Linked DNA regions of Rattus norvegicus. The protein of the gene in region 2 interacts with the protein of the main gene of each other region in a pairwise test. Links are inferred from orthologs where the notes say so. Each region holds a gene or a part of one and is shown on either strand. Other genes may lie near its edges. The genes, in order: Card9, Tle5, L3mbtl2, Frs3, Fsd2, Airim and Ldoc1.

Region 1 (4,057 bases), on a different chromosome or scaffold from region 2:
CTGCGTCAGGCCCGACTCCCCTGATGCGTCTGGGGACCATGCAGTGTCAGGTGGAGCTGTGGCTGTCACCTGCAGACCCTGTGCTCGTCCTTGTCTACAAGTGTGTGCTTGAAGACCAGCAGCTTGAGGGACAGAGGGAGCACTCCTGGCCTCCCAGAGGGTAGGATGGGTCCCTCAAGACTGAGTGTGCTCACTAGGCCCAGTCTGCCTTGCTGTCCCTCACAGGCGAACTGAGATTCTGACTCAAACACTCACATGCCAGGACTGCAGTCGGCCTTCTGTCTCCCCCCAGCCCCTGTTTTACGTGTTTATGTTGTATGTATGTAGTCCAGGCTGGCCTCTCACTCTGAGATCTGCTTGTCGCTGCCTCTGGAGTTAAAGGTTAAAGGTGTGTGTCATCATGCCTGCCCTCTGTTACTCTTACAGTGACCTTTGTGAGATGGATGAGAATTGATAGGGCTGTGGCTATTCCACCACGAGAGGACACCTCTGTCCCCTCTGGAAACTGTACGACTCTGCCCTTGGCTGACAACTGGGCCCTGCAGAAATGGCACTGCAGAGCGGTCACCACTTCAGTGGAATTTCTAGGCTGTGAGTAGGAGAAGCAGAGAAGGGCTCCCCTTCTGGAGACCAGCAGGGCCTCAGCAATCCAGGAAGGCCCTGCTCCCGAGAACCGGAGAGGCACCAGGGACCACTACCCTGATCTACATCAGAAGGCTCGTGTCAGACTTAGTCACTCCAGTGCAATCACAGGAGCCGGGGCCAAGTAGCACCGAGTCCACCCACAGCACCAACCCACACCTGTGCCTCTCACCGATGATCATGGAGAAGACACGCGCTGGCTCCTTGCCAGTGACTTTCCTGTATAACTGAGGGTAGTAGAGTTCCAGACTCTCAAGAAAGGCCACGTAGCCCTTGTGGCCTGTCCGCTGCAGGATGTCCAGGAGCACACCTTCAGGCAGAAGAGACAGAGTCAGGGCCCAGGGCTGGGTAGGTAGAGGCCCTTGGGGCTGGCTAGGATGGTTACTCTGGGTAGATAACCTAAGCTCTAGACACCCCCTTCCCTTCTGGGCCATTGCATAAGGCACCCTGCAGGTCTCAGTCTAGGTGGGACAGGGTGCTGTCTTTACTCTGGTGGCTCTGAGGATCTGAACAATGGTGGGGACTCCCTTCCCCCACTGGGCAGCAGCAGGTAGACATGACAAGAGGGGAGGAGGACCTCACTCATATCCTACATGGAGATGGAGCTGGGTGGGGCTGAGGTAGCAGACTCTGGCTGGCTGTCTTGTGGGGATGATGAGGGACTGGGCCCTGCTGGTATGGGAGCAGCCCTCACCCACTTTCCGCTTGCGGATGACCAGGTTGGGGTCACTGAGCACCTGCTCCTCATCATCGGGGTTCAGGACTTTGCACTGGCGCAGATAGGGTGTGATTCGTGAGGGGTCAATGACAGAGATTAGCTTCACCCGGAAGCTCTCCAGGGCACTCCAGCACTCGTCGTCATTTTCATAGTCTGACATGTCCTCTGTAGGCTGTGGTACAGTTGGGGAGAGCAGCTGAGGAAGTGCCCACCTTCTGTTCCCTGCTGGGCCTGGCGCAGTCAGCCTGACAGGACCCAGGCCTGGGAGTGCCAGGGCAGGGCTTTGGGCAGGGTCAGAAGGGACTCAGTCTAGGGAAATATACGGCTCAGTTTCATCTCCTCAGCTCCATGGAGAGTTTCTGAGGGGAAGCAGAGGTCCATAGGCAAGCCCCTCCTCAGGCCACCTGTTAAACCCACCTTCCCCAAGCTGCTGTCACCCCAAGCTTTCGTTGAGTCATGTGGATATGCAGGGAAGGGATGGGTTGGGGGTCTAAGAGAATAGCCCTTGTACAACAGGCCTGCTCTAGCTTCTGCCCTCTACCCTGGAGTGCCCTGGCACACCCTCAAGGTGGGAGCTTTTGCCCCTACTGGCCATCCTACATAGTACCTCCCTGGGTGGCGTGGACCCTGGCTGGCCAGTCTCCAGATTGGGACTAAGAGGGTCAGGTTGGTGGGAGGCTTTCTCACTCTGCCAGGGGGCCAGGCCTATGTGTGACTTCCTCATTCCCTGACAGGCTCCGAGTCCTTCAGGCCTTCCGTTGTAGCCAGTGATGCAACAGCCTGTGGCATGGTGCTATTCTGGGAGGGCAAGTAAGGGTTGGCCGTGGGAGCATGCCTGCCTCCCTGCTAGGCTGGGGTACACTGGACGTCTGCTGCGGCTTCCCTCCAGTTTTTCAGGTGCTAGGCAAGTCCTGTGCTTTTCTGCTGCCGGATGAGGCCTGGCCTCTGGCCACATGATGGGGATCAGTCAGGCCAGTTGAACATAGGGGCTTACTCGTGTGGAGCTGCATGTGGACAAGTGAAGCCTTTGTGAGTGGCTTCAGTGGACAGACATTTCTCTAAACCTTGGGCCCACTGCCTGCCATTCCAGCCCCACAGCCACATGGCCCAGCACTGGAGGACTATACTGCCATGGCCAGGGTTAATCAAATGAAGGGTGAGGGTGGAGGAGGCCACCTGCCTGTAGGTACTGCTGCTCCAGGGTCCCCAGCAGACTCACCACAGGCTTCCACCCACCTCCAGGAAGGTGAACTTACCTCAGGGTCCTGTGGGAGCCACCTGCCAGCTGGATGCTGCCTGGGCTATGGGCACTCCAGGAGCGAGCCTCTGGGAGTGTGGAGATGCTCCCTAACTGGAGAAGGGTGGAGCCATGAGGGAGGCTGTGCACTTCCTGATGTGTTCTGGTTGCTGCCACAAGCCAGCCAGTCCTCCCTGGGAGGGGGGGGGGGGCAGTCCCTGCTGGTCTACCTTCTGATTGGTCCATCCAGGAACAGGAGAGAGGGAAGTAGAAGTACTCTGGGAGCAGAGGAGCCCTCCCCGCCTGCTCATCTGAACTCGGACCTGGAGCCACAGAATCTGAAAATCTGGCGTTGTGGATGGGCGGTCTAAGGCCCTCCTGGATCCAGGCTTCTGAAAGCCGCTCTTCCCTCATGGCCGCCCATATCCTCACCTGCCGTCTGAGGACGGTGGTGCAGGGTAGGTGCAGCAGGACAATCCACGGGCTGTAGGCAGCTAGAGTCCTCCGTGAACTGCGTGCCCCAGCCTGAGATGGGCGTGGGGACCTGCTAGCCCTGACCAGCCAGTGTAGCTGTTAGACAGGTGCTGCTGCCTAGTCTTCGAGAGGAGTTGAAGCAAAAGCTGAGTGGGAAGGCTGGGAGACCTACAAAGAGCAGAGCCCAACCAGCCCCGTCTTTCGTGGCTTACTGCCCTTCTGTTGCTCCTGTGGGGACAGTGACCTTGGACCATACTTCTAAAAGCAGCAGTCAGGAGTCCTCTTTGGCCTGGGTGGGGTTGGGAGTGGCATTGCTAGGGACTGTGCCTTGCTGGGTTTCCAGGATGGCAAAGAGGGGTCCACGGCTTTGCAGTTACTCCAGGAAGGAGATCACAAGGCCTCCATAGTGGAGTTTGTTCCCCAAACAGTAAAAATACAGATCATGGTGTTTTCTTAAAAGTGTTAATAAAATGGGAAGCTCTTGCCCATAAATCTGAGGTAGAAATCAATCGGATAGCTGAAAAAACCCCAGTACTCCAGAGTGGAGAAGAGGTTAGAGGGAGCCATGGAAAACACTGGTCCCTGGACACATAACAGAGGGCAATGAGCTGGGCTGCAGGACAACCACCTGCTGACAGTCGGTACAAGCAGCAGGATTAGGCTGCTCACGCCATTTTACTATGAAATTTCCCACAGAGGATGGATGAACACATGCAAGAACTAACTCCTGGAGAGCCAAGGGCTTAGGACTGGTGTCACGATAATAGTGTCTAAGAAAAAAGGAGACAGGGCCGGAGAGATGGCTCAGTGGTTAAGAGTGCTGACTGCTCTTCCAGAGGCCCCGAGTTCAATTCCCAGCAACTACCTGGTGGCTCACAACTGTCTGTAAAGGGACCCGATTCCCTCTTCTGGTGTGTCTGAAGAGAGCAACAGTGTACTCATACACATAAAACAAATAATTTTTTTTTTTTGTTTTTTTTTTTTTT
Region 2 (4,356 bases):
GGTCGAGCCGCAATAGCCTTATTTATTGTGTTTGTGTGTGTGTGTGTGTGTGTGTGTGTGTGTGTGTGTGTGTGTGTGCGCGAGAGAGAGAGAGTATGAGAGAGAGAGGGAGGGAGAGGGGCCACAGTGTGACTCAGGGTCCACCACTCAGTCTTGCATCCCTGAGCGAGTGCGGCCTTCACTTGGAGAGCATATCAGAAGTTAGCTGGGCTAACAAGCCACGCTTTTCCCATTGCTCCTGTCTGAGCCACAGGCCCTTGAGCGGCTGAGCCTGTTCAGGGCTGGCCGAGAACAGGGTCACTGTGCAGGCTGTGTTGGCCTCCCGTTCCTGACCCTGTGGCTGCGCTAGGCTGGCTTTATGTTTGTTTGTTTTTTGTTTTTTGTTTTTTTCCAGGACAGGGTCTCACTCTGTAGGACAGGATGGCCTCAAACTCACAGACGTCTACCTGTCTTACCCTCCCAAGTTTTGAGGGCCTTTTGGATTTAAAAAGAAATATTTTGATGGGCTTGTGGGCACAGGACTTTAACCCCAGCACTCAGGAGGCAGAAGCAGGCAGATCTCTGAGTTCCAGGACAGCCAGGGCTACACAGAGAAACCCTGTCTTGGAAGAGAGAGAGAATGGGGGGGGGGAGGTAGTGCTGTTGTTGAGGTGGAAGTCAGAGGACAACTTGGGGGAGTCACTGCTAGGCAAGAGCCTACCCCACTGAGTAGCCTCATAGGTCTGGAAAGCAAGCCACAGACCCAATCCCTTGATTCCACTGACCTGTCCTGGTCCAGGAAGGTTGCCACTACAAAGAGAAAGCAAGTGGAGTCCAGAAAGGTAGAACAGCCAACCTAGAATCACACAGCAGCAGAAGGCAAAGAGACCCCAGCCTCCAGCCCCGATGAGACTAGAGAGATGGGCTGGACCTGAAGAAGTTTCCTGAAGCCAGGACACCATGGGGTGTCTGTTCCTTTCAGCCCTGGGCCATCTCAGTCTTCAGCATTTGTTGTTGTGTGGAGATATCTCCCCAGGTTTGAGTACTCGGGTTACCGCCGGCTGTGTGACCTTGAACCTCTCACTCACCCTCTCTGGGCACCCACTGAATCCCATGTTAAGATGAGATAGGGGGATGACAAGTTCTGCAGCCCTCATCTCCTGCAGGAAGGTACCTCTGACTTTGGTGGTTGTTATTCCATTGAGAATGCTTTTGGAATTTCAGTAGGGGAAACTGAGTAACCTCGCCTGCCCAGGATTGCAGAAAACCCAGGGGTGTCCTTAAATGCAGCCAGATGTGGTGTTTGGCCCTGTCTCAGTTTGCATCTTGGGGCTGTGGCTCAGTTGGCAGGAGAATCAGGACTTCAAAGTCATCCTCAGCTACATAGTGAGTTCAGGGCTAGCCTGAGCTACATGAGACCCTGTCTCAAAAAAAAAAAAAGTTTTTGGCTTGACCCTCCAGAGGTGCCCCCTACCCCGAGGGGACCTCAGTTGCCTTCCCTTGTGTGTCCTCAGCCTGAAGCTGGAGTGTGACAAGCTGGCCAGCGAGAAGTCAGAGATGCAAAGGCATTACGTCATGGTAAAGCCCTCTCGGGGCGGGGGCGGGGGCGGGGCGTTGTGAGCGGCGACCCCAGACTCCCCACATACTGCAGGTGCCTGCTACCGAGTCCCCACAGGCTATCGGCAGCCTGGCCACCAGCCCAGGTAGTGGCTGAGGTGCCAAACCACCGGCTCGCAGCTCAGGCCGGCCAGGTCTCAGCCGTCCTTGGCGGGCTGCAGGAGGAGGCAGCTGTGGAAGCCTGCCATAGCCAGCCGGAAGCAACAGTTCCCTCCCTCCAGGCCATCCGGATGGCCAGGCATCCCTTAACCCTTCCTTGACCAGAGACCTCCTAACCCCCACAGGACCAAAGGGATTGTGCTTCCGTCCTTTAGTTCCCAGCAGGGGAGGTTGCTGGGGTCTTGGGGCATTGTGACTGGGGTCTTGAAGAACAAATAGGAGCTCACTGGATGGGGGTAGGGTGGAAGGGCATTGCTGGAATGTGCAGGGAGAAGCAGGCCACCCATAAGGCCACAGCCCTTTGGCCCTGACACGCTTCTCCACCTCACAGTACTATGAGATGTCTTACGGATTGAACATCGAGATGCACAAACAGGTGAGCCTCAGTATCCCTCCTCCATGACCCCAGTGCCCTGTGATTCCCAGACTGAGCATTGAGGCCACTCCTGTTACCCCCAGAGGTGGACTCAACTCCCCCTCCCCTGCCCTCCAAGTGCCCCAGGTACTGAGGGAAAACCATGTGTTCCAGGCTGAAATTGTGAAGAGGCTGAATGGGATTTGCGCCCAGGTTCTACCCTATTTGTCCCAGGAGGTAAGCAAGCCACCAGCAGGGAGCAGTGGGATTCCCTTCTCCCTGTGCTGAGCAACCCCCTGAGCACACACCTGCCCTCTCTGAACTTAGCAAAGGTGTGAATCGGAGCAGCTGGAGTCAGACCCCTGTGGCGAGGCAGAAAGTGCTACCGGGGTGGGCGGGCCGGCGCAGATGATTGATGGGGGACCGGGTGGGCGAACTCTGAGGAAATCGCTGTGAAGCTGGATTCCTAGTCTCCCACCCCGCCAGCCCCTGAGCCCCTAGGACCGGACTTCCCTTGTGCACTCGAACCGATTGCCCACTGCACAGGAGCCTCCCCCTTATGTTTAAACTCCAGCCTGACTGTCCCTTTGCCTGAGAGAACTGTGTCTCCTCCCTTGCCTCTTCCAGCATCAGCAGCAGGTCCTGGGAGCTATCGAGAGAGCCAAGCAGGTCACGGCTCCCGAGCTGAACTCCATCATCCGAGTAAGTCGGAGCTCCTGGTGGGCGGGGACTTGGGTGGGCAGGTGTATGACCCACGGTGACTGGGGTCAGGTGACAAGACCCTGAGCTGACTCTCACCCCACCCCCACCCTCGCCCCACAGCAGCAGCTCCAGGCTCACCAGCTGTCCCAGCTCCAGGCGCTGGCCCTGCCCCTGACACCGCTGCCTGTCGGGCTCCAGCCGCCATCCCTCCCTGCGGTCAGCGCAGGCACAGGCCTGCTGTCACTCTCTGCTCTGGGCTCTCAGACCCACCTCTCCAAGGAGGACAAGAACGGACACGATGGGGACACCCACCAGGAGGATGATGGAGAGAAGTCCGATTAGCTCCTGGGGAGAGGGAGGGGGAGGGGGGATACCAGGGGAGACAGGCACAGAGAGCACAGTGTTCTGAGGGCCACACTGCACACAGCTCGGTCCCTACCCAAGCTTCCACCTCCAGTCCTGGTTCCAGCTGTGCACCCTGGGCCTAGGAGACGCCAGAGGGACAGCCCAGGCTACAGGGAAAAATTCCCCACCTTCAACATTTCCCCGGGCTACAGCCACCAATCTCGGCCCAGAATGTACACAACGCTAGCCGCCCCTTTCCACCCTGTGCACCCCGAATTTGCCCCCTTTCCCCTTCTCTGCTTCCTGCACTGCACACCTGCTAGGCCCAGACCCCTCCCCCCAGCTCACCCAGCTCTGGTTCCCTCAACCGCGGAAAGAAAGCATTGGCTCGGGACTGCAGTGGGGGTGGGCACCCCACAAACTTCCCTCTCCCCTTCCCCAAATAAACGTGAGGGTTAAAAGTCGGTTTGTTTATTATTTCTTTTTCGTCCCAGTACTCTATAGCTACCATCTAAGAGAGAAAAAGAAGGAAGCCCTGGAGCGAGCGAGGGTCTGTCTGTGCATATAGTTAGATTTTTCTGGTCGCCTCGGCTTTGCCACCGAGAGGTGGAGGGCCGCTGTACTGAGGGTGGGGTCTAGCTGTGCCTTCAAAATAAAAACATGAAAAGGTCGGATGGTGTGTCCCTGCCTCTGTCTTGTGGGGTGGGGACCCCTTTCCTCAGGGCACCCTGTGTTCTGCAATAAGACACTCCTTGAGCAAGCAAAGGCCCAGAGGGTAAACTGGGGCCCTGCAGTCCTGGGGCAGGACGGTGCAGCTCAGTGCTCAGGTTTTCAACTGTTTTGGCAGGGTGGCCTGTGGCACCCACATGGGTGCCTTGGTTACTTTCTGAGAGGTGGCCTGAAGGCTCTCTGTACCCCTTCCAGGCTAGGCTGTCCCCTGGGGACCATGCCTTTTTGGGCCTCAGTTTTGGGCCTTTTTCTGTCTTGGTTTTCTGTGTAGCCCTGACTATCCCGAACTCATTCCTCAAACTCATAGAAGTCTACCTGCCTCTGCTTTCTGAGGCCGGGCAGTGGCGTCCTGTGCCACCTGTTTTCTTTATTTGTTTTCTGTTTGTTTTTCATTTGCTGGTTTATCGTGTCTGTCCGGTTTGAGGACCTCTTACAGGAATCTGTCCTCATCCTCCTTGTATCCTCGGGGT
Region 3 (3,556 bases), about 110 Mb from region 2:
GCAGTAAGACTTAAAGGAGGGGTTGAAACTGTCCCTGGCCGCCGCTGCCACAGACTCCCCAACCCAGCCCTGGAGTCTCCTCACCATGTTAAAGAGTCTCGCTGGAGCTGCTTTTGACTTGGTCTTTTCTAAGTAGCTCTCCCAGTCAAAAGGCTGTGTCTCATACCCTGGAGGGGAGAGTGTGAAGAGGAGTGAGGAAGCAAGAGTCACAAGGTAAGACCTGGGGGTTAAGGGCAGAACACACACTTTGGGGACCCTGCAGCCGAGTCCCAGCATAGTCTGCAGCCACCCTTCTCTCCAGCGTGGCCCCTCCTCTAGGACAGTCCTGCTGCACAGCTCCTGGATGGCCCTAACACACAGGAGTCCTGTTCACCAGCTATACATCAGCTGGGTCAGCCCAGGCAGTGCAAAGGCAGTGGTGGCTGGAGAGGCCCCTCCTCTCTCCCATGCCACAGCCACACATCAGGGATCTGGGCTGTGACTGCATCCTGAAGTCTTACCTTTTGGGGGTGTGAGCTCGATGTCATTCTTTTGGCAGAAGGTGGCTGGGAAGATGGCGTGGGAGGAGGCGTGGTAGCAGAACCAATCTGAGCCATCCGTGGACGGCCCCCCATCCACACAGATCATCAGGTAACCATCCAGGAGCACCTAGGAGGGGCCAGCAAGATGGCTCAAAGGGTAAAGACTGTCCTGCATAGCCTGTTCCAACCCTAGGACCCATGCAGTGGAAGGACACACCAACGACCACAAAGTGTCCTGACTTCCATGCACATGCACATAATAAATGCAACTAAATAAAATAAAACCAAACCTAGGGGAGGGTACAGGGAAATGGATGGCATGTGTCATCACCTGCAAACCCTCCAAATAGGTGGCTATGATTGGACACGAGACATGGATCCAAACGGATGGCTGAATTCTGCCTTATGCCAAAATACCCCAGTTTGGCAGAGCACCCAGTACTCAGGAACAGTGTACACTCTCCACCATTGGTCAACCCATGCCAGCCAGGGCTGCACCTGCCTTACTGCCCCCAGGCCCTGAGTATGTAGATAGCATGTGGCTGGACACAGCTACATGTGGCCAGGTGGACAATACAGTGTCCGTAGGCTGCAGCAGTGATGGCAGGTAGGAGCAAGAAGCTGGGCTGAGGCTTTGGGCAAGCAAAGGAGGACTAGTGGCAGAAAGGCCTTCACGAGGGGTCAGCATTATGCTTATACCTGACACCGGACAAGGCTTAGATATTTAGTCTAAACCCTACCATGAAGGTTCTGAGCCAAGAGCAGGAACAGTCTCCTTCCACCACACAGAAGTTAAGGGCGATATGAGCAGCAGGGTCAGGGCTCCAAGGACCTTACAGTGGGTGCAGAGCTGTGCCATCCAACACTCAGCCAGCCATGCGGGAGGCCGGAAGGGTAGCCTAGGCTCACCTTGCAGATGGTTGCTACACAGATATTGCCCAGATTCAGAGGGTCAATGGCCTCTAGTTTCATTCCTTCCTCAAACCAACCACCTTCTGTGTAGACAGCTCGGACCTTAAAGGAATGAAGCAATCAGGGAGTCAGGAGAAGGCAAAGGAACCATCCTTCGGATACTGCAGGCCTGGGATGGCAACAGAGGGCAAAGGACAGTCCTACTGGGTGCTGTGGTGCCCGCCTATTAATCCCAGAACTTAGGAGGCCGTGACAAGCTGAACTGGGCTGCAATGGGTCCTTGCTTCAATCTCCTCTCCTACGGTTCTCAGCATGTTTAGGGCTGTGGAACAACAATCTCTTACGAAAGAGACAAGGGTCAGTCCCAGAGAGATGCCAACGAAGGAGTACGGCCAGAGGAAAAGTGCCCACAGGCTGTACCTCACCTTCTTGAAGAGGTAAGGAACAGCATCACAGTAGATTTTCCGGAAGGTAGGGTGATGAGACATGTCACATCGTCTCTCTAGGGGAGATGACAGAGAAGAAGAAAAGAAAAGGAAGTTGAAGATGCCACTGGGTATCACATGCTTCTCCCATCTTGGTCTCAGCTGTGTCCCACCTGCTTCCTAACAGGGAAACAGAGGACCGTGGGGCAGTAGTGTGGACTCAGCACAGGGGATGCACGCTCTTTGGTCCTGGCACTGTGCCAATACCATCTGCGTTACAAGGCAATTTGGCTGTTCAGACTGAGCTGAGTGACCTGAGTCACTGGCCTCTCTGATTCTCCACATTGTCACTTGCTGGGCAGCCATGATAGTGCACTTCACTGCACTACTGTGAGGTGCAGCAAAGGCGCACTCATCTTTAGGGGGAGGCTAAGCCTGGAGTCTTACCAGCCAGAGGCTCTACTGACCTGACATCTTGATGCCGTGGCCAACACGCCGTGACCAACCCACTGGATGGATCAGGGGACTCCACATATGGCACCAGAAGTCATCATCACTGTCACCATCCTCATAGAGGAGCCGCAGGCGACCCCCAATTACTGTGTCCACCACAGCCATGCGGGTCCGTGACACCTGAGTCTTGTCTACAACCTCTAAGCGCATGCCCTGCCGAAAAGGGTACTTCATGCTTTCTACCATCTGCAGGGACACAAGAAGGCGTGCGTCTGCTTCAGTTACCCAGTCCTGTATCCCTGCTGTCAGCAGGAGCTGAGTGTGGGGACGCAGGCCTTTAATCCTGGTCTACAGATTGAGTTCCAGGACAGCCAGGGCTACAAAGACAAACCCTGGTCCTGAAAAACCAAAGCAAACTGAAGAGAAGCAAAGGAGGAGCTGTAGGGTGAGTCAGCAGTTAGAACATTGCCCTTCCTGAGGACACAGGTTTGATTGCCAGTGCTGACACAACCTTCCATAACTCAAATTCCTGGGAACCCAATGCCCTCTTCTGGCCTTCAAGGGACAACATGCATACTCACATACAGCCAAACATCACCTATACACATAAAATTATATATTTTTTTTAAGAGTCAGAGGGGACAGGGAAGGGTGGTGAAATCTCAGAGTCCCTCTGCCCTCCTGTCTTGCCTGAGCCCCAATCCCTTAGAATAGCACAGTGGGCAGGCCTACAGTTCTCAGTGGGTACCTCGTCTCACCAGATCTCAGCTAGTCAGGGTGATGGAAATCCCAGAAATCTACTTCAGACCAAGGGAACTCAAATGACCTAGAAAAGTGTAGGCAGACTTAGTTCTGGATCCAGCCTGGGCGTTCACAGCTCTGCTGACCCCTGGCACCTCGCACTCTCTTCTGCCTCTGGTCCTCTATGGCAGCACATGGAAGATTTTGTCCAGTGGTATTGTAGCTATAATCCTAGCATACAAGAGGTAGGGGCCAACCTGGGATCACAGGGAGTTCAAAGTCGGCCTAGATTATGTGGAGACTGTCTTTTTAAATATGTATTTCATATGTGACTCCTAGGGCTTAGCGAATTTTAACAGCAGCAGTCCACAAAGCATAAGACAACAACCAAGATGTCTGTATCTAGGGTGGGCTGTAGGGCTTTTAGCACCAGGATGCAGTGGAATCAAGAGCAGCTCTGGCCTACCAATGCTCAAACTGAGCAGGGCTGCTTCTAAAACGCCG
Region 4 (3,169 bases), on a different chromosome or scaffold from region 2:
TTGTGGGTGGCTGTTCCGTGTGATGATGACCGGCTCTTCTGTCACATTGATGCTGTTACACTGCATGAGGTCCTGCAGCAGGTTGAAGATTTCCTCTGCCCTTGAGCACTTGAACGCAAAGATCCCTGGAGGAGGTGAAGAAGCAGTGAGGGCTCCCCCAGCCCTCTCTGGTACAGAAAGGTCAGCCAGCCAAAGGAAGGCCATGACCCTGACCTCCACTCTCACAAGGTTCCCTGAGCATTCTTTGCAGAGAGAGGCAGAGGTGCCCCAGAATCCCAGTGATACTGGAGGGGTGGGGGATAAGCCCCAGGCACCCAGTTCCCTACACTACCTTCTATTTTCCCAAGCCCCAGGACATTTGTTTTCATAAGGATAGGTGTCTTCTGGGGTTGGGGATTTAGCTCAGTGGTAGAGCGCTTGCCTAGCAAGCGCAAGGCCCTGGGTTCAGTCCCCAGCTCCGAAAAAAAGAACCAAAAAAAAAAAAAAAAAGGATAGGTGTCTTCTGGGGAGGAGAGCCCACCATGGATAGAGCCCCCATCTTCCTGTCTCCTCACTTATGTCCCTCACAGAGCTTGGGGAGAGACACAGCAAGGCAGTCCGGTGCTTCTTCATGCGGTAGGCCTCTAAGCACTTCCAAGACCAGTCTGTCCCTAAAGTGGCAGGACTTGACTGAGCACATGGAACTCAATGGCTCTAAAGATGCCAGCCTGGGGCTCTGTAACACAGGCCTATGGGATAGCTTGTGCACACATCCACAGCAAACATAGATGTTACCAGGTATGGCACCACACACACAGTTGAGCATTAAGTGCAAGGCTAACCTGAGCTACCCATGAAAACCCTCTCTCAAAAAACCACGGTGTGTAAGGGGTTCCTAGCACACACAGAGCCCTGATTTACTCTCCAGCGCCACACCCACAGAATGATAGATACAGTTACATTGGGACATGGACAGTGAATATCACATCGCTGTTTTATATTGCTACCCATTAGCTCCAGCATAGGGTAATGGAATTTTGTAGAAACAGAATGAGAAAGGTGACAAATATGTAAAAGCTGGGCAAGATCAGAAGGACAGAAATGGTGGCACTGGTTGTAATCTTGAACTTGGGAGGTGAGAGAAGGATTCCCATGAACTTGGAGACCAGTCAGGACCACATATAACAAGACCATCTCAAAGGGGCGGGGCAGGGAGAGAAGGAGGAGGAAGACAAAGAGGGAAGGGAGGGAGAGGGGGGAGAAAGAAAGGAATGTGAGGTGGGCTGGGGTACAGCAAAAGCCTGGTGTTAGGGGAGAGACAGCTCTGTCTGCCTGCAGCACAATCCCAAGAAGGACTCCTTGTGCTGAGCATGTGTGGACCTAAGAAGCAAGTCCTAGGCCTCAAGCCCTAACCTCAAGCTCATGAGTAGCCTGCCAGCCCTGAGCTCCACTGCTCAGGTGACGGCAGACAAAGGTCAGGCTGTAGAAGGTTACACTGTATGCGAGAGACCCAAGTTCCCGCTGCCCAAATCTCTGTGCGAGCTTCTCAGCCGAGCTGCCAGCCTCCTGCCTGACTTCTCCTCCACTGTGCATGGAGCCCAGGGTGTAAGATCTGGCAGCTCAGGTTTTCCCTACTGCAGAGGCAGTAAGGACCCTGAAACCGTGGCAACAGTGGAAAGAGTTGTCTTTGCCATGTGGACTCTGGTCGAGGAGCACTGGCTCCTTCCATGGACTGTGTACCAAGTGTTCGCACCAAGGCATCTAGGGAGAACAGCAATGACTGAGGTGTGGAAGAGGACTGCTCTAGGTCCACGTAATTCCATAATAACACGCTCTAGGCCTTTGGCTGAGACCTTTCCCTGCTCTGAACAATAATGCCAAGGCCGATGCCTGCTGGTAGGGTGTTAGGGCCATTCTTCACTTCTGTAACAACCCAGGCCCTGTCCTGGAGGGCAGGGCTGTACTCACCCTGGCCTGTCTGACAGCGGCGGCCACTCTCAAAGGAGAAGAGATTGGAGTCGTAGCCATAGCGCCGCAGGCAGAGGTAGGGCCAGCGGACAGCTTCCTGCTGGTGCAGGTGCAGCACCAGCTCGCTCTGGGTCAGCTCCATCACCCCTGAGCCCAACTCCACCCCTTCATCATCCACATTTGTCACCTGTAGGGAGAAGTGACCAAGGTCAACAGAGAAGCTACGAAGTGTCTGCAAGGACCCTGAGACATGGGGACGCAGCATCATGAAGGGCTAGAGCTAGGAGACAGAGTTGCTCCTAGCTGTACCAAGAGATCCCTTGGTCACACAGAGCAGTGCCATGAGTCAGAGTTTTCAGGGGGTTGGGGGAAGTCTCTCCTATGAGCCTCAGCTCTGTTGTTTGCACAAACAGGAAAGAGGTCATCTGCTGACCTCCCAGGCCAGGTGGTTAACTGTCCAATGTTCAAGAACTTCCTGGGGCTTAACAGTGTGGAGGGGTTTAACTGTTAATTCAAAATCTAAAGTCTTGTTGACAGGCCCAAGGCAGAACAAATACAGCCAGCTTCCAACCCAGGAACTGTGCAAACTTGCTGAGTGTCCCTCTCCAGTTGGGCAGGAGAAACACAGGCCCAGAAAAAACCCAGTTGAGAGGAGATGGCGCCTCCTATGGGATGTAGGGAACTTAGGCTCACAAAACCCAGTGTTTCTTCTTGTGCTATGTGTGCTCTACTTAAAACATGATTCCTGGTAGTAAGAGAGGAGAGAGAGGGAGAGGGAGAGGGAGAATAAAAAATAAGAAACAAAGGTCAGGTTTTCCCTCTCACACTACCTCAGAGGCCAAGAGCAAGCATCAGGAGCCTTATTGGGCCCACAGCCACAGCCTGTCATCTTCCTTTCCCTAGAGACACAGGAAGCCTAACCTCAAGGGGACGTTGGGACTTGAGTGGACAGAGGGTCTGGGTACCTTGAACTTGGTAGGGTGGTTGTGTGGCACGCTGTCTCTGTCCAGGCAGCTACAGCAGCTCCCCATGGTGTCAGAGCAGCCTATCAGCCCTGGGGAAAGACAAGAGATGAACAGGTCACCAGCAGCCCTGCCAAGCTGCTCTGCTCTGTGCAGAATACTGCACTGTGAGCACGTCCTCTGTCCAACAGGCTGTGTGACACAGACACACCCTGAGGGGATTCTGTCTCAATCCATGGCCAAACACACTTGGGATAAAC
Region 5 (4,031 bases), on a different chromosome or scaffold from region 2:
GCTGTCGGGCGTGTGGACAAGAGGGACTCTGCACACGCCACTTTTCGGATGTAAATTGGTCCCCACACCATGGACACTCAGTACACAGTTTCCTAAAAAGCTGAAAATACACTTCCCATCTGGCCCAAGTCAGCCTGCCACGGACATCGAACATCCGTGCTATCCACATTAGCTAAGTTATGGAACTAACCGAGGTGTCCATCACAGAGGGACGGGTAAAGAAATGTCTACATACTCAATGGAACTGTTTGCAGGAAAATGAATGCTGCTAGAGAAAATATAATTAAGGTAGCCTCAGAAGACAAATATACATTCTCTCTCAGTTGTTGCTCCTGAATCTCACATAGATTCATAAAATTATGTATGTACAAAGGTCATGAAACTGTCTAGGGAACAGAGAGTACTAAGAGGAGAAGAACGGGGGAGATAAAAGAGGGAAGTGGATTTGGAGGAGTATGCTCAACACACATTATATACACGTGTGAAAATGTCCTTGCTTTGCATAATACCATATAAAATGGATATAAACAATAAACATTTTCAAAGGGGGAAAACTGTGATATGATGGGTACCACCCCACCACACACAGACAATTAAAAACTCCAGAGAGCAAGGAAACACTATGCCTGCTTATACAGCAGGACATCAGACAGCACCCAGGGGAGTCTCAGAGTGAGCCCCAAAGCAAGCATGGAAACCTGAATTAGGGTATCCAGCGCCTGTGTAAAAGGTCAGGTCAGCAGTGAGCGCATGTAGGTCAGCAGTGCAGCAGTGAGCGTAGGTAGTTTGTATGTAAGTGCAGCTGTGAGCATATGTAGTTCATATGTAGGTCAGCAGTGAGTGAATGTAGTTCCGACAGTGTAGCAGTGAGCTTGTGTGGCTCTAACACTGAGGACTGAGACAGGGGGATCTCCAGGTCTTTCAGGCCAGCTAGACTAGCAAAGCTACAGAACTCCAAATCCAGTCTCAAAAATGGGGTACAGAATGGCTGAGGAAGAAACCCAAACTTGACCTCTGGCCTTCACATGCAAGTGCATGTGCATATGTACTTGCAAACACGGATGCACAGAAACACACATACCCACCCCATCCCACCCCAACTCCCAGGACAGAAGGAAACTGTTCACTTCACCATCTGGATGGTGCCACCATGGTGTCATCACTGTTAGAACAAAACAAAACAGCAACAACGAAAATTAAACCCCATGCAATTGGTACTTTGATTGGAAAGTTTCTGTTTTACTTATTCATGTAATAAACATTTATAAATCTGGGTAGTATGGGCACACACCTTTAACCCCAGCAGGTAGAAGACAGAGGCAGGTGGATCTCCAAATCTGAGGTCAGTCTGGATTACAGAGAGAGTTCGAGAACAGCCAGGGATACACAGAGAAACCTTGTTTCAAGAAATCAAACCAACCAACAAAGTAACCAACCAAACAACAGCAAACACACACACACACACACACACACACACACACACACACACACACACACACACACCAGCCTCTCCCACGTAGAGGACAGAGTAGGGGGATGAAGGCAAGTGACAGTCACCTCTGTAGTTGCCCAGGGGCAGTGAAGTTCAGTGGATAGCTGAGGGGAGGGGCGGGCTCTCACATTCCAAGACATGGCTTCTGTAGCTCACTGGGAGCAGCTGCCTGAAGGAAGCTACTTGTGGAGAGATCACCACACTCGGCCTTACCTCCACAGTGATGAACACTTCTTCCAGGTGGCTAGCGAAATTTTCCATCTCAATAATCTGCTGTTCCAATTTGCACATATTTTTGTGAATTTCATCCTGTGGAGGTGAGCAGAACGAATAAAGTATCAACGATAAGCTTATTCTATCTTTTTTAAATTAAAAAAAAAAAAAACATGTGCACCGATGTTTGCCTGTGTGTGTGTGTGTATCTGTACGCCACGTTGTGTTCTTAGTGACCACAGAGCCTAGGGGAGGACATCGGGGTCCCTGGGACTGCTGTTACAGATGGCTGTGAGTCACCATGCGGATGCTGGGAACTGAACCCAAGACTTCTGCAAAGCAGCCAGTGCTCTTAATGCTGAACCATCTCTCCAGGCTACCATTTCATCCTTGGAGGCATGAAGGACTGAACCTCTGCCCACCTCCCCGAGACACACATGCACTCTCCAGCGGAAGATGTAAGATCTGTTACCTTGGCGTGTTCCAGAGCCTTGTTGATTGGGGTTACTTCGTGTTCCTTGTGTATATCAAAATCCTTCTCAACAGTTCTCACTGGAGTTTTGCAAGTGACACAGAAGACATCAGCAGGCTCTTCCTCATCTTCCTCCTCTGGGATGACGTAGCATTCATATTCCTCGCTGGCGCGGCCATGTGTGTACCTGTAGGCTTCCCGAAGGTCTTGGCATTGGTCAGGAGGGCCTTGAACTCCGTAGCACAGGTCCTCGGCCTCAGCTGCCTCACCACTAAGCCCCCAGTCTCTCTGCTCCCTGCCTGGATCCCTCCTCCTCATCCCGTACGGATACCCCAGAGTCCCCAATCTGTGTTCATCCACAAATTCACCCCCTAACTCATGTTCATCTTCAAGCCCGTATAAATGGACAAGCGCGTCCACTTCCTTCTGGAGATTCTTACTGTCCCCTGCCCCTCTTGGCTCATTGGTCAGTTCAGCCTGGGTTACTTCCCTCCGGGTTCTGCTGCTTTCTCCTGGGAAGAGCTGCAGTCTATCTTCAGAGTCATACAGGTCCATGTGATAAAAGTGGAAGTCTCTGGGGGCTGTTGATCTCCCCAGCCCCGGCTCCTCCCCTGCTTCCTCCTCCATTGACACAGAACAGCCCTTCCTAGTCAGTCAGTGGGTATTCTGAGACCTAGGACACAGAAGAAGTGAACGTCAGTTCCCAAGAAGAGAATTGCAGAGTCTGCGCACGAGATTCCATAGTTCCAGATTTTATCCAAGAAGTCAACGGTCACAGTCTACATCATGGCAAGCAAATTCACTGAATTGTCCCAGCCGTAGCTGACTCACAATTGCTCAACAGAAACACATGGAGACCCTCCCTAGAGACCTAAGGCTGGCTGGCGAGCTGGAGACACTGCTATAGAAAGGTGTATTAGGAGCATCACCCCTACCTAGGGTCACCGCATGACCTCTTTGCCATTCACAGCTCTCACGAACCATGCAAGATCATAAATATTGGTTATTTTAGGTTATCAAGCTGTGGAATAATTTGTTATGAAAGAACAGTTTGAATGAGGCCAGCGTAAAACTAAGCCTCCTCCCCCCTGCTACCATCTGCCCCTCCTTGTTCATAGTCAGGCTCCTTCAAAGGACGGCATTGATAATGCTGATTTCCACACCGTGACACGTGTGCACGGGGCTTTCCATGGGGAATCCAGGCACTGGGTATGAAGAGTTAGCGTTCAGATACAGTCTCAGGTTTGCATTTGGCCTTTCTCAGAGCTGCTTCGCCTGGGAACAAGGCAGCCTCTGAGGTCCTTTCTTCTCAACAGCCCTTCGCTTATCAGAAAAGCAAAAATATATTTCCTGTTCATTCTGAATATTACATTGCACAGTAAGATTTCATTGCTTGGGAATTTAATAAAGCCTCCAGGGGACTGGATGAAAGGATAGCCTGGAGGATTGGCATCAATGCCAAGAGTGAGTGACATTAATGAATGAGAAAGAAAGGATCTTTTTTTCAAGGTAAGTGCTTTCCAGCTCTTTGCTTCTAACAAAATTGCAAGAGGATCTAATCAAGTTGTCAGCTGATATATTATTTGAAATAAATGTTCATGATAGGTCATTATATAATTTCGGCGTACATTTCAGAAGGAGCTGAAAGAATGGAATGTTATAACCACCTCCATTCCCATCTACCTACACAGGTGAGCACGGTCACTCAGTTTGCCTGGACAAACTGAAAAACAAAATACGAACTCACTCATTCCTGTTGCATTCTAGATCCTGTAATTTCCACTCCTGGGTTGAGTTGAGCCTTTTTCTTTTTTTAAATAAACAAAGTCCTGTCCACTTCATCAAATGATGCAT
Region 6 (4,346 bases), on a different chromosome or scaffold from region 2:
CTCCATTGCTCACTGTGTCTTCCAAGAGCAGCGAACACACAGTGAATCAGTCAATTCACTGTCACCAGAGAGAGAAATATGATGGTGTATATAAGGTGCCTTTAGCAGTGCCTACATATCATTCTAATGCTGACGCAAAGGGACTCATCACTAAAACAAAGACTGCAACTTCCCAATGGACAAGGAATCTCCCAGCCCAGAACTCTAGCTCTAAAGATCCGGCTGTGTCTTACAGTGTAAAAACAGGAAACAACCCAAAACCAGCAAGTCTGTAAGTCCTGCTTATACACTGTGACTTAACAAACAGAAAACAGAGTATCAGTAACGCCTGAGTTGTTACTGTTTTGTGGACTGGTTACACATGTATCCACTTGTGTGTAGAAGGAGGTGGTGGTGAGGAGCCCAGCTTAAGTGGCAGGCACACTTCAGAATCCCGGCTCTAATTCTCACTGGCTCTGTGATCAGGACAATCAGTTTATTTTCTGTCTTCTTGCTTCCAAATGCATAAGCAGGGTTAAGCCAGGGGTGTACAAGGTCCTGTACATACAGTCTTTAATCCTGGCTCTCACTGACTCTACAGAATACCAAGGAAGACTCTTCTTCCTCTCCTCTTCTTTTCTGCTTTTGTCATTTCTTCAGTTATGTAATTGGTTTGGGGTTATTTTTATTTGTTTGTTTACTTACTTATTTTATTTTGAGACTGGGTCTGTCAGTGTAGCCTTGATTGTCTTGGAACTCTCTACGTAGACCAGGCTGGCCTTGAACTCAGAGATCTGCCTGCCTCTGCCTCCTTAGTACTGAGATTAAACACTTGGCCTGGTTTGGGTTTTTTTAAAACAACCTACTCCAGGCTGGCCTCGAACTTACAGACATTCAATCTTAGCCCCCTGCATGATTACTCCTGACTTGCTTCTGTCAACTTTTGTAGGCCCACCATGACTGAGGCTGAGATGCCCTACAGCCTTAAGATCTGTCCATCAACAAAGGGGGACACAGAGCATCTTACAGCCTCTCAGTTAGCTTGTCCAGGACAATGTCACCAGCCTCTAGTTGCTTGCGCCTCAATCGCTCCTGCAGGTCTGGAAAGGGACGAAGGGCTAGCACATCCTCAAACCGCAGACTTTGTGCAGCTTGCAGCTGCTCAGCCAGATTGCTGAGAGAGGAGAGGAGGGGCAAGCAGTCCTGCAGAGTGCTCTGCCACAGGTCCTGCTGTTCCTCCACCACGGGGAAGCACTTCTTCAGGGCCTCCTGCACAACCAGCAGCGGCTGGTCATGAGCCATCTTCTGGGTAGAAAAACAAAACAAAACAAAACAAAAGAGAGTCAGGGTACCAAAAAGGGAGAGCCTACATCAAGGGTGAGTCATTTTTGACCTCATGAGAAGACCAGATTTGGTTTTCAAATAGTCCCAAGGCAATATTGAAAGGTAGGGAGACTCTAGGTGACACAGAAAAGAACTCTTCGTCCTGGAAGCAGGTTGACACTTTCGACCAACAATGAAGTAAGAATTTCAGCAGCATACTTACCAACTGCTTAAGGCCTTCCTTCCTTCCATGTTCTAGAAATCTCACCAGAAATCCCATTTACAGAGAAAGGTCACACACTACTCCATTTACAACCAACTGCTTAAGGCCTTCCTTCCTTCCATGTTCTAGAAATCTCACCAGAAATCCAATTTACAGAGAAAGGTCACACACTGCTCCATTTACAACCATAGGAGCTCCTGATTTCACTTTATTGGATTGTAATACCATCAGAGAATATTGGAAGCCCTCTCACTTACTTCTCTTCTCAAACAACTTTTTGTTTGAAGAGAATAACAAGGGTTCTTTAGAAACCCTTTTGAGATGTAACCTGAAAGCTACCAAAATAAGTATACACGGCTAATGTAATATGACTTTAATCCCAGCACTCTGGAGGCAAAGCCAGGTGATCTCTGGGTTTGAAGCAAGCCTGGTCTACAGTCCCAGGATGGCCAGGGCTACAGAGAAACCCTGTCTCAAGAAACTGGGGGGCGGGGGATGGTGTCAACTGTTGATCTCCCTGGAGAAGACCAGACCCACATGACTATGTCTAACTTTCTGAGATTGTTTGAGCAGCCTTCAAGTGTATTCTATTTTATGCCTAAGTGCTTCTCTCTTAATCCCTGTGCTTAAGCCTGTATTAAAAGCTTTAGGCTGGGAGTTGACGAATGTACCTTTAATCCTAGCACATGGAAGACTGAAACAGGCAGATCTCTGTAAGTTCGAGGCTAACTTAGTCTACACAGAGACTGCCAGGCTAGCCTGAGTTAAATGGTGAGCCCCCGTATCAAATGTGTGCATGTAACTCTGCTTCATAGACTGGCTAGTGCTGAGTTCTTTCCAGCCTCAGAGCCATCAACTGAGCTGAAGTCCCTAAAAGGTTAGGGGAACTCCTCACCTTGCTGAAGTAGGCAGAGTGAAGCTGTGCTCCTCTGTCTTGTCACCGCTGACACTCAAGAATAAAGATTGCGGCGGTCCTCTTACCAGTTCTCTGCAGAAGGACTGCAGGTCTTCCGAAGGGGTTTCTAAACGACAGTGCAATCTACTTTAGATTGCGAAGCCCTGGGGTCTGTCTATCCCCGGACCAGTGCTTCTGGAGTCTTGTCTCCTCTCTTTAAGATTTCCAGCCCTGTTCCTAAATCAACAGGAAAACGTAAATCCTGGGTTGTCAACACTGAGTACATCAAAAACTACACGGGGCTTGGCACTGTCTGCTCATTCACAAGACCGAACTCACCACTCCAGTTCTAGTTAGCACGACTCTGGAGTCGCGAAAAGATGGCGTATGCCTCAATGACTTCTGGGCATTGTAGTTCTCCATAAGGATTGGCTGACGGAGGGAGAAGAAGCTTTGTTGTGATTGGACTTTGTGAGAACCGTCCTAAGACGACGATTTGCTATTGGCTAGGCTGTGCCCGTTGAGTTTGAATTGGGTGGCGGTTAGTGGAAGATCAACCCGTCCCTCAGCTGGAGCTGTAAGGTTTCCTGAGTCTGTTTTGGGACCCCCAGGTTTGTTTCCGCAGAGTTCAGGATACCTAGACTCCAACGACTGAACTTCCGCTGCTCCCCGACCACTCACGCCCTCTTTCCCGGTCTCATTCGCTAACCCGGCAGCTCGGCCCCTCGCTGGACGCACCCTGGTGTCATGGCTCCTAAGAAACGCAGCAGCCGCGGGACCAGGACCAACACACTGCGGAGCCGGAAGCTCGCCTCCTTCCTAAAGGACTTCGACCGCGAGGGTAAGGGGTGGATTCGCGTGATCGTGAGTTTTGGGTGGGTTGGGGCGCGGGTGCGACGGCTTCGCACACCTGACGCGGGATCCATCGGCTTTCACCTCTTTGCAGTGCAAGTTCGAACCAAGCAAATTGAGTCCGACAGGCAGACCCTCCTCAAGGAGGTGGAAAATCTCTACAACATCGAGGTCCTTCGGCTCCCCAAGGCGCTGCAAGTCATGAAGTGGCTTGACTACTTTGGTAAGAGCTGCTAGCGTTTCCCCCGTGGCCGATTAGTGCTTATCTTGAAAACTTTCTATAGGGACTCATTCAGATGTCTTAATAAGGTCTTAAATAGCCACCGGTGGGAAATTGCCATCTGTCATAACTTATAAAAAAAAAAGTGATAGACCCATTGGAAAGAAGCGGGCATGAATTACCCTTCAGATGAGTGTTATTAGGATAGTGCTTCACACTTTCACTGCTCAGTGGGAGGAGAGCTTTAGAAGGTATATACCAGAGATAGATGAGGGGGGGGGAGGGGGGGGCTGAAGGAAGAGGGAGGGAGGGAGAGGGAGGGAGGGAGGGAGGAGGAGGAGGAGAAGGAGGAGGAGGAGGAGGAAGAGGAAGAGAGAAAAGATCAAATCCATAGTACAAAGTGAGCTTCTGATTCTTGAAGGCTTTCAGAGGTTGGGGAAGGCCGTTCCACACTGACCTGACCTAGCCTAAGCTAGCCTAGGCAAGGATGCAGGCACTTGGTAGGACTATAAAAGTTTTCCTGCCGATTTACAGAGGAGGGAGAGAAATGCAAGACCAGGATACATCATGTTTTCTCCGCATCTCTGTGTCCAAGGGGAGAGTTGCAGGAGGGCACATCCATATTTTGGAGAGGAAAGAGGCAGTTTATGATCTGAAACCACCTTACTGCTCAGTGCACCTGAAACTGCCATCCAGCCCATGGGCAGGCAAACCATGGTCCTTAACTGGCCAGGTAACAAATAATTTAGATTTCTGGAATTGGATTTCTACTATAGTTCCAAAGGAGCTGTGATGAGTTTGATTTCTGGGCACAATGAAATGTCAGTTTCACGTAACTTTCACACATCTTCACA
Region 7 (4,184 bases), on a different chromosome or scaffold from region 2:
ATTGAATAATGAGAAAATAGAATTTAACATGAAAAAATATGTGAACCAACATTTCCAAAGAGAAAATGCACCAATAGAAATCACTGGTGAAGATGCAGAATATCATGAAGTTCTAGGAAAAAAGAGGGTGAAACTTCGAGATACAGCCCTGCCAGATAAACAAGAAAATAGTAAGGAAAATGTGAAAATGTCACGTGCCAGTAAGGGCACACAGAATTGGCATTAACACACTGATGCTGGAATGGAAAATTATACAAACTGAAAATGGCAGGAAAAAAAAATACCATCATACTGTATATGTCCATTTTCTTTTAAAGTACTTTTGTTAGTTATTTAAGTTCATACAAGTTGAGCATATTCACCACTGTCTCTTCTAAAACCATCCAGATTCATGCCCTTTGTCCTGCCCACCGAACTTTGTGGGGTTTTGGTTTGGTTTTGTGTTTGGGGTTTTGTGTTTTGTTTTTAACTCATCCAGTCTGCTTTGGGTTATCTTTATATTCTTGGGTATAGGGTCATCCATTAGACTTTAAGCCACACCCTTAAGCAAAACTGATGCTTCCTTTTTTAGAAGCCATCAACTGACAATCGTCTTCACATAGATGTGAAATATACCCACCTCTTCTCCCCGTGGTGAAATTCTGTTGGGCTTGAACTTACACGGGTTGTATACATTCAGTGACTGTGGGTTTCATGTGAAACCACATAGTTGTTCCCAGAAAGTACTGTTTCTTTGTCCTTATCCACATTGACAAGCTCTAACATTCTTTTTCACTCCTTCTTCTGCAATAATCCCTGACTTGGGTGAAGAGGTATGATTCACTTATCATATTTGGGCTGAGAATTCTGTAGTTTATTACTCTAGTGCACCGGAGCTGCTTTTAGTTCTTTATGTTAGCACCATTTACTTCAAAAAGAAGCTACTCCGATGACGGTGATGAGGGTTGAACTACCCACAAATCTACTAGCATAGTGCTAAGTTTTATACTAACACTGTGTCCATTTAGCAGAATAATAATAGCAAATTCTTCCCTAGGGACTATGAATTACCTGATCAAAAGTTCTTGCCCTCAATAATTGTGCTAGTTATGTGTTTCATCTTGTGGAACAGGCCTTAAATGAAAAAAAATAGTTTACTACATTTAAAATATCCATGCCACCATTGTACAACTGAGTTAGTTACTGATTATTTTTCCATTCTGTTAACGTACATAGCACCTTTCAGCAACATGGAATTTATCCAGTAAGAATGAAGCTATCAGATGGATACCAGTTTGACTTCTTTCTGTTCTATGACTCAAGTATGCGGTGTCATCAGAAATAAGGTCTTACTGTCAAGTTCTGGAGGATAACCAAGAGCAATATCAATAGCATTTAATAGTTGGAGGTCTATGGGACTTCACTGGCTAACAGCTCCAATATATGTGGGAATAGGTTTCCATATGACTTTGTACATAGATCTTTTGTTATTGTTCTATGTATATATTCTTCTAACCAGTTTACCCATCTCCCACCTTATTCATTCCTCCTATTTCACTATTCCCTTTTCTCCCTTTAAATGATTGCATCATTTAATTGGTCCCTTAAAAGCATCCTATGCCCCACCATATGTCCTTACTAGTTTCCTGACTTCCATGGGCATTTCAAAATAAATACACAAATCTGAAGATGCAAAACTAGCATCTGCAACAAGTAAAAGCAATCAACATTTGTCCTTTGGGGAGGAGGGTGTCTGTTTTACATCATTCAGAATGATTGTTTTCAAATACATGCATTTACCTGAAAAATTCAACTTTAGTATTCAATGGGTGAATGGTATTGCATTGTATAAATGTATTATATTTTTACCATCCATTCATTGGTTGATGGACATCTGGGAGTTTCCATTTCTGGTTATCATAAATACAGAAGCATTGAACATGAATGAGACAGTGTCTCTTTAGTAAGATATAGGGTTCTTTTGGTATATGCCCAAGCAGTAGATTAATTTCCAGTGTTTTGAGGAACTCTACACTAATTCCACAGTGAACACACTGATGAATAACTTCAACAAGTAGTGAACAAGTGCTTCCTTTCCCCAAATCCCTACAAGTATTTGTCATCACTTGCTATTTGTATCTTAGTCATTTTGACTGAAGTAAGAGGAAATTTGAAAGTAGTTTTACTTTGCATTTCCCTAATGGCTAAGGATGTTGACCATTTAACAAAATGTCTCCGTCATATTCATTTCATCTTTTGAGAGCTCTTTGTTTAATTTTACGCCCCATTTTTTACTTACATTGTTTGTTTTCTTGATGTGTAGTTCCTTGTTTACTCTAAATATTAACGTGTCAGATATATATGTTGTTGAAAATTATAAAAATAAAATGCTGTCTTATACCCTCTCTAGGTCCGGCACCACAGTACCCCCAAGATATCTGATAGATATCCCAAACTCAGTCAGCAAAGCGTCTCACCTGCTCTGCTGCATCCCATATCACACTGCCGAAGGCCTCTCTGAGCCTGGAAGAAATCTCTCTACCTATCTAGGTCCCAAGGCAGGTTTCCATGCCAGAAACACACATCCCAACTCCATGTCGACCCAGACAAGCCGCCCCACACTTCCTTACATTTAAATCTACACATGAAAGATGATACAACACAATAATTTTTGATCCAATTGATAAAATACAATTGCCCACCTAAACATACAAAGCCCATTACACATCCATCCCTTAAGAACATATATAACCTGCTGAGGTACAGCGTGGAATCTAAACACAGGCTTCCAAATTGTTCTGCCGCGGCTTCGCTCCTCTCTCCTCCCCTCTTCCGTTTCTGTCTCCTCCTCTTCCTTCAAAACTTTCTCCCGCCCATCCTTCCTTTTCGTCCAATGACAGGCCTCATTCTATCTTGTACCTGCCTCACCAGTGACATCATCCCACATACATAATTGTTAAAGTTTTTCCCATTCTAAAGGCTGCCTCGTTACTTAAGTGATAGTGTAGTGTCTTTTGTTTTACAGAAGCGGTCTAGTTCATGAGTTACCATGTATTAATTGGATTTAATGTATTAACTACTGGGGAAAATGCATTCCTGTGTCAGTAAATTCAAGTATAATCCAAATATTTTCCTCTACCAGATTCAGACTATCAGGTTTTATGCTGAGGACCTTTATCCACTTGTAGCTCAGTTTCAAGCAGATTAACAGATAAAGATATAGTTTACACTCTCTATGAATAGCAAGAGAAACTAGAAGAGATAATATCAGCTCCGTATCCTACAACAAAAAACAATAAATGGAATTAGAACCGAAGGGCAACGTGATTATTAGAGAAATGAAAATACTCTAAAGTTGAGGTTAACTTCTCATTGTATAATTTTGTAAATTTGTTGGAAATGTTAACTATATGTTTACTGTAGGTAAATATTTTGGCTAACAGCACAATAAAATTGTTTTACTATCAAGCTATGCAATCAAATTATTGTTCATTTCTTTTTTTTTTATTAACTTGAGTATTTCTTATATACATTTCGAGTGTTATTCCCTTTCCCGGTTTCCGGGCAAACATCCCCCTCCCCCCTCCCCTTCCTTATGGGTGTTCCCCTCCCAACCCTCCCCCCATTGCCGCCCTCCCCCCATAGACTAGTTCACTGGGGGTTCAGTCTTAGCAGGACCCAGGGCTTCCCCTTCTACTGGTGCTCTTACTAGGATATTCATTGCTACCTATGGGGTCAGAGTCCAGGGTCAGTCCATGTATAGTCTTTAGGTAGTGGCTTAGTCCCTGGAAGCTCTGGTTGCTTGGCATTGTTGTACTTTTGGGGTCTCGAGCCTCTTCAAGCTCTTCCAGTTCTTTCTCTGATTCCTTCAACAGGGGACCTATTCTCAGTTCAGTGGTTTGCTGCTGGCATTTGCCTCTATATTTGCTGTATTCTGGCTGTGTCTCTCAGGAGCGATCTACATCCGGCTCCTGTCGGTCTGCACTTCTTTGCTTCATCCATCTTGTCTAATTGGGTGGCTGTATATGTATGGGCCACATGTGGGGCAGGCTCTGAATGGGTGTTGCTTCAGTCTCTGTTTTAATCTTTGCCTCCCCCTTCCCTGCCAAGGGTATTCTTTTTCCTCATTTAAAGAAGGAGTGAAGCATTCACATTTTGATCATCCGTCTTGAGTTTCGTTTGTTCTAGGGATCTAGGGTAATTCA

The links.
Region 1: the proteins of Tle5 (region 2) and Card9 interact in binary tests that used the Homo sapiens proteins (3 or more experiments, as listed by UniProt). The two-hybrid records come from large-scale screens. The link is inferred for Rattus norvegicus from reciprocal best matches to the Homo sapiens genes TLE5 and CARD9.
Region 3: the proteins of Tle5 (region 2) and L3mbtl2 interact in binary tests that used the Homo sapiens proteins (3 or more experiments, as listed by UniProt). The two-hybrid records come from large-scale screens. The link is inferred for Rattus norvegicus from reciprocal best matches to the Homo sapiens genes TLE5 and L3MBTL2.
Region 4: the proteins of Tle5 (region 2) and Frs3 interact in binary tests that used the Homo sapiens proteins (3 or more experiments, as listed by UniProt). The two-hybrid records come from large-scale screens. The link is inferred for Rattus norvegicus from reciprocal best matches to the Homo sapiens genes TLE5 and FRS3.
Region 5: the proteins of Tle5 (region 2) and Fsd2 interact in binary tests that used the Homo sapiens proteins (3 or more experiments, as listed by UniProt). The two-hybrid records come from large-scale screens. The link is inferred for Rattus norvegicus from reciprocal best matches to the Homo sapiens genes TLE5 and FSD2.
Region 6: the proteins of Tle5 (region 2) and Airim interact in binary tests that used the Homo sapiens proteins (3 or more experiments, as listed by UniProt). The two-hybrid records come from large-scale screens. The link is inferred for Rattus norvegicus from reciprocal best matches to the Homo sapiens genes TLE5 and AIRIM.
Region 7: the proteins of Tle5 (region 2) and Ldoc1 interact in binary tests that used the Homo sapiens proteins (3 or more experiments, as listed by UniProt). The two-hybrid records come from large-scale screens. The link is inferred for Rattus norvegicus from reciprocal best matches to the Homo sapiens genes TLE5 and LDOC1.

Annotation. Positions count from the first base shown.
Region 1 is NC_086021.1:29,575,569-29,579,625, forward strand, and holds the start of Card9 (caspase recruitment domain-containing protein 9), read right to left. Parts: upstream 2,835-4,057; 5' UTR 2,617-2,834; intron 1,533-2,616; 5' UTR 1,521-1,532; coding exon 1,337-1,520; intron 953-1,336; coding exon 815-952; intron 30-814; coding exon 1-29. UniProt on the Homo sapiens protein: Adapter protein that plays a key role in innate immune response against fungi by forming signaling complexes downstream of C-type lectin receptors.
Region 2 is NC_086025.1:8,793,595-8,797,950, reverse strand, and holds the end of Tle5 (TLE family member 5), read left to right. Parts: exon of another isoform or gene 1-1,487; intron 1,488-1,493; coding exon 1,494-1,557; intron 1,558-2,086; coding exon 2,087-2,131; intron 2,132-2,249; coding exon of another isoform or gene 2,250-2,264; exon of another isoform or gene 2,265-2,284; coding exon 2,285-2,347; intron 2,348-2,737; coding exon 2,738-2,812; intron 2,813-2,932; coding exon 2,933-3,154; 3' UTR 3,155-3,828; downstream 3,829-4,356. UniProt on the Homo sapiens protein: Transcriptional corepressor. Acts as a dominant repressor towards other family members. Inhibits NF-kappa-B-regulated gene expression. May be required for the initiation and maintenance of the differentiated state.
Region 3 is NC_086025.1:115,080,039-115,083,594, reverse strand, and holds part of L3mbtl2 (lethal(3)malignant brain tumor-like protein 2), read right to left. Parts: intron 2,558-3,556; coding exon 2,326-2,557; intron 1,936-2,325; coding exon 1,859-1,935; intron 1,536-1,858; coding exon 1,431-1,535; intron 649-1,430; coding exon 501-648; intron 168-500; coding exon 85-167; intron 1-84. UniProt on the Homo sapiens protein: Putative Polycomb group (PcG) protein. PcG proteins maintain the transcriptionally repressive state of genes, probably via a modification of chromatin, rendering it heritably changed in its expressibility.
Region 4 is NC_086027.1:20,788,662-20,791,830, forward strand, and holds part of Frs3 (fibroblast growth factor receptor substrate 3), read right to left. Parts: intron 3,002-3,169; 5' UTR 2,979-3,001; coding exon 2,913-2,978; intron 2,135-2,912; coding exon 1,948-2,134; intron 126-1,947; coding exon 1-125. UniProt on the Homo sapiens protein: Adapter protein that links FGF and NGF receptors to downstream signaling pathways. Involved in the activation of MAP kinases. Down-regulates ERK2 signaling by interfering with the phosphorylation and nuclear translocation of ERK2.
Region 5 is NC_086019.1:144,923,361-144,927,391, forward strand, and holds the start of Fsd2 (fibronectin type III and SPRY domain-containing protein 2), read right to left. Parts: upstream 2,805-4,031; coding exon 2,178-2,804; intron 1,802-2,177; coding exon 1,706-1,801; intron 1-1,705.
Region 6 is NC_086023.1:142,481,893-142,486,238, reverse strand, and holds the start of Airim (ribosome biogenesis protein C1orf109 homolog), read right to left. Parts: upstream 2,853-4,346; 5' UTR 2,507-2,852; exon of another isoform or gene 2,421-2,506; intron 1,285-2,420; 5' UTR 1,282-1,284; coding exon 1,007-1,281; intron 1-1,006. Other genes in the region: Cdca8 (borealin), read left to right, coding at 3,168-3,261, 3,367-3,495. UniProt on the Homo sapiens protein: Part of the 55LCC heterohexameric ATPase complex which is chromatin-associated and promotes replisome proteostasis to maintain replication fork progression and genome stability.
Region 7 is NC_086039.1:145,000,390-145,004,573, reverse strand, and holds the start of Ldoc1 (protein LDOC1 precursor), read right to left. Parts: upstream 2,808-4,184; 5' UTR 2,732-2,807; intron 1-2,731. UniProt on the Homo sapiens protein: May have an important role in the development and/or progression of some cancers.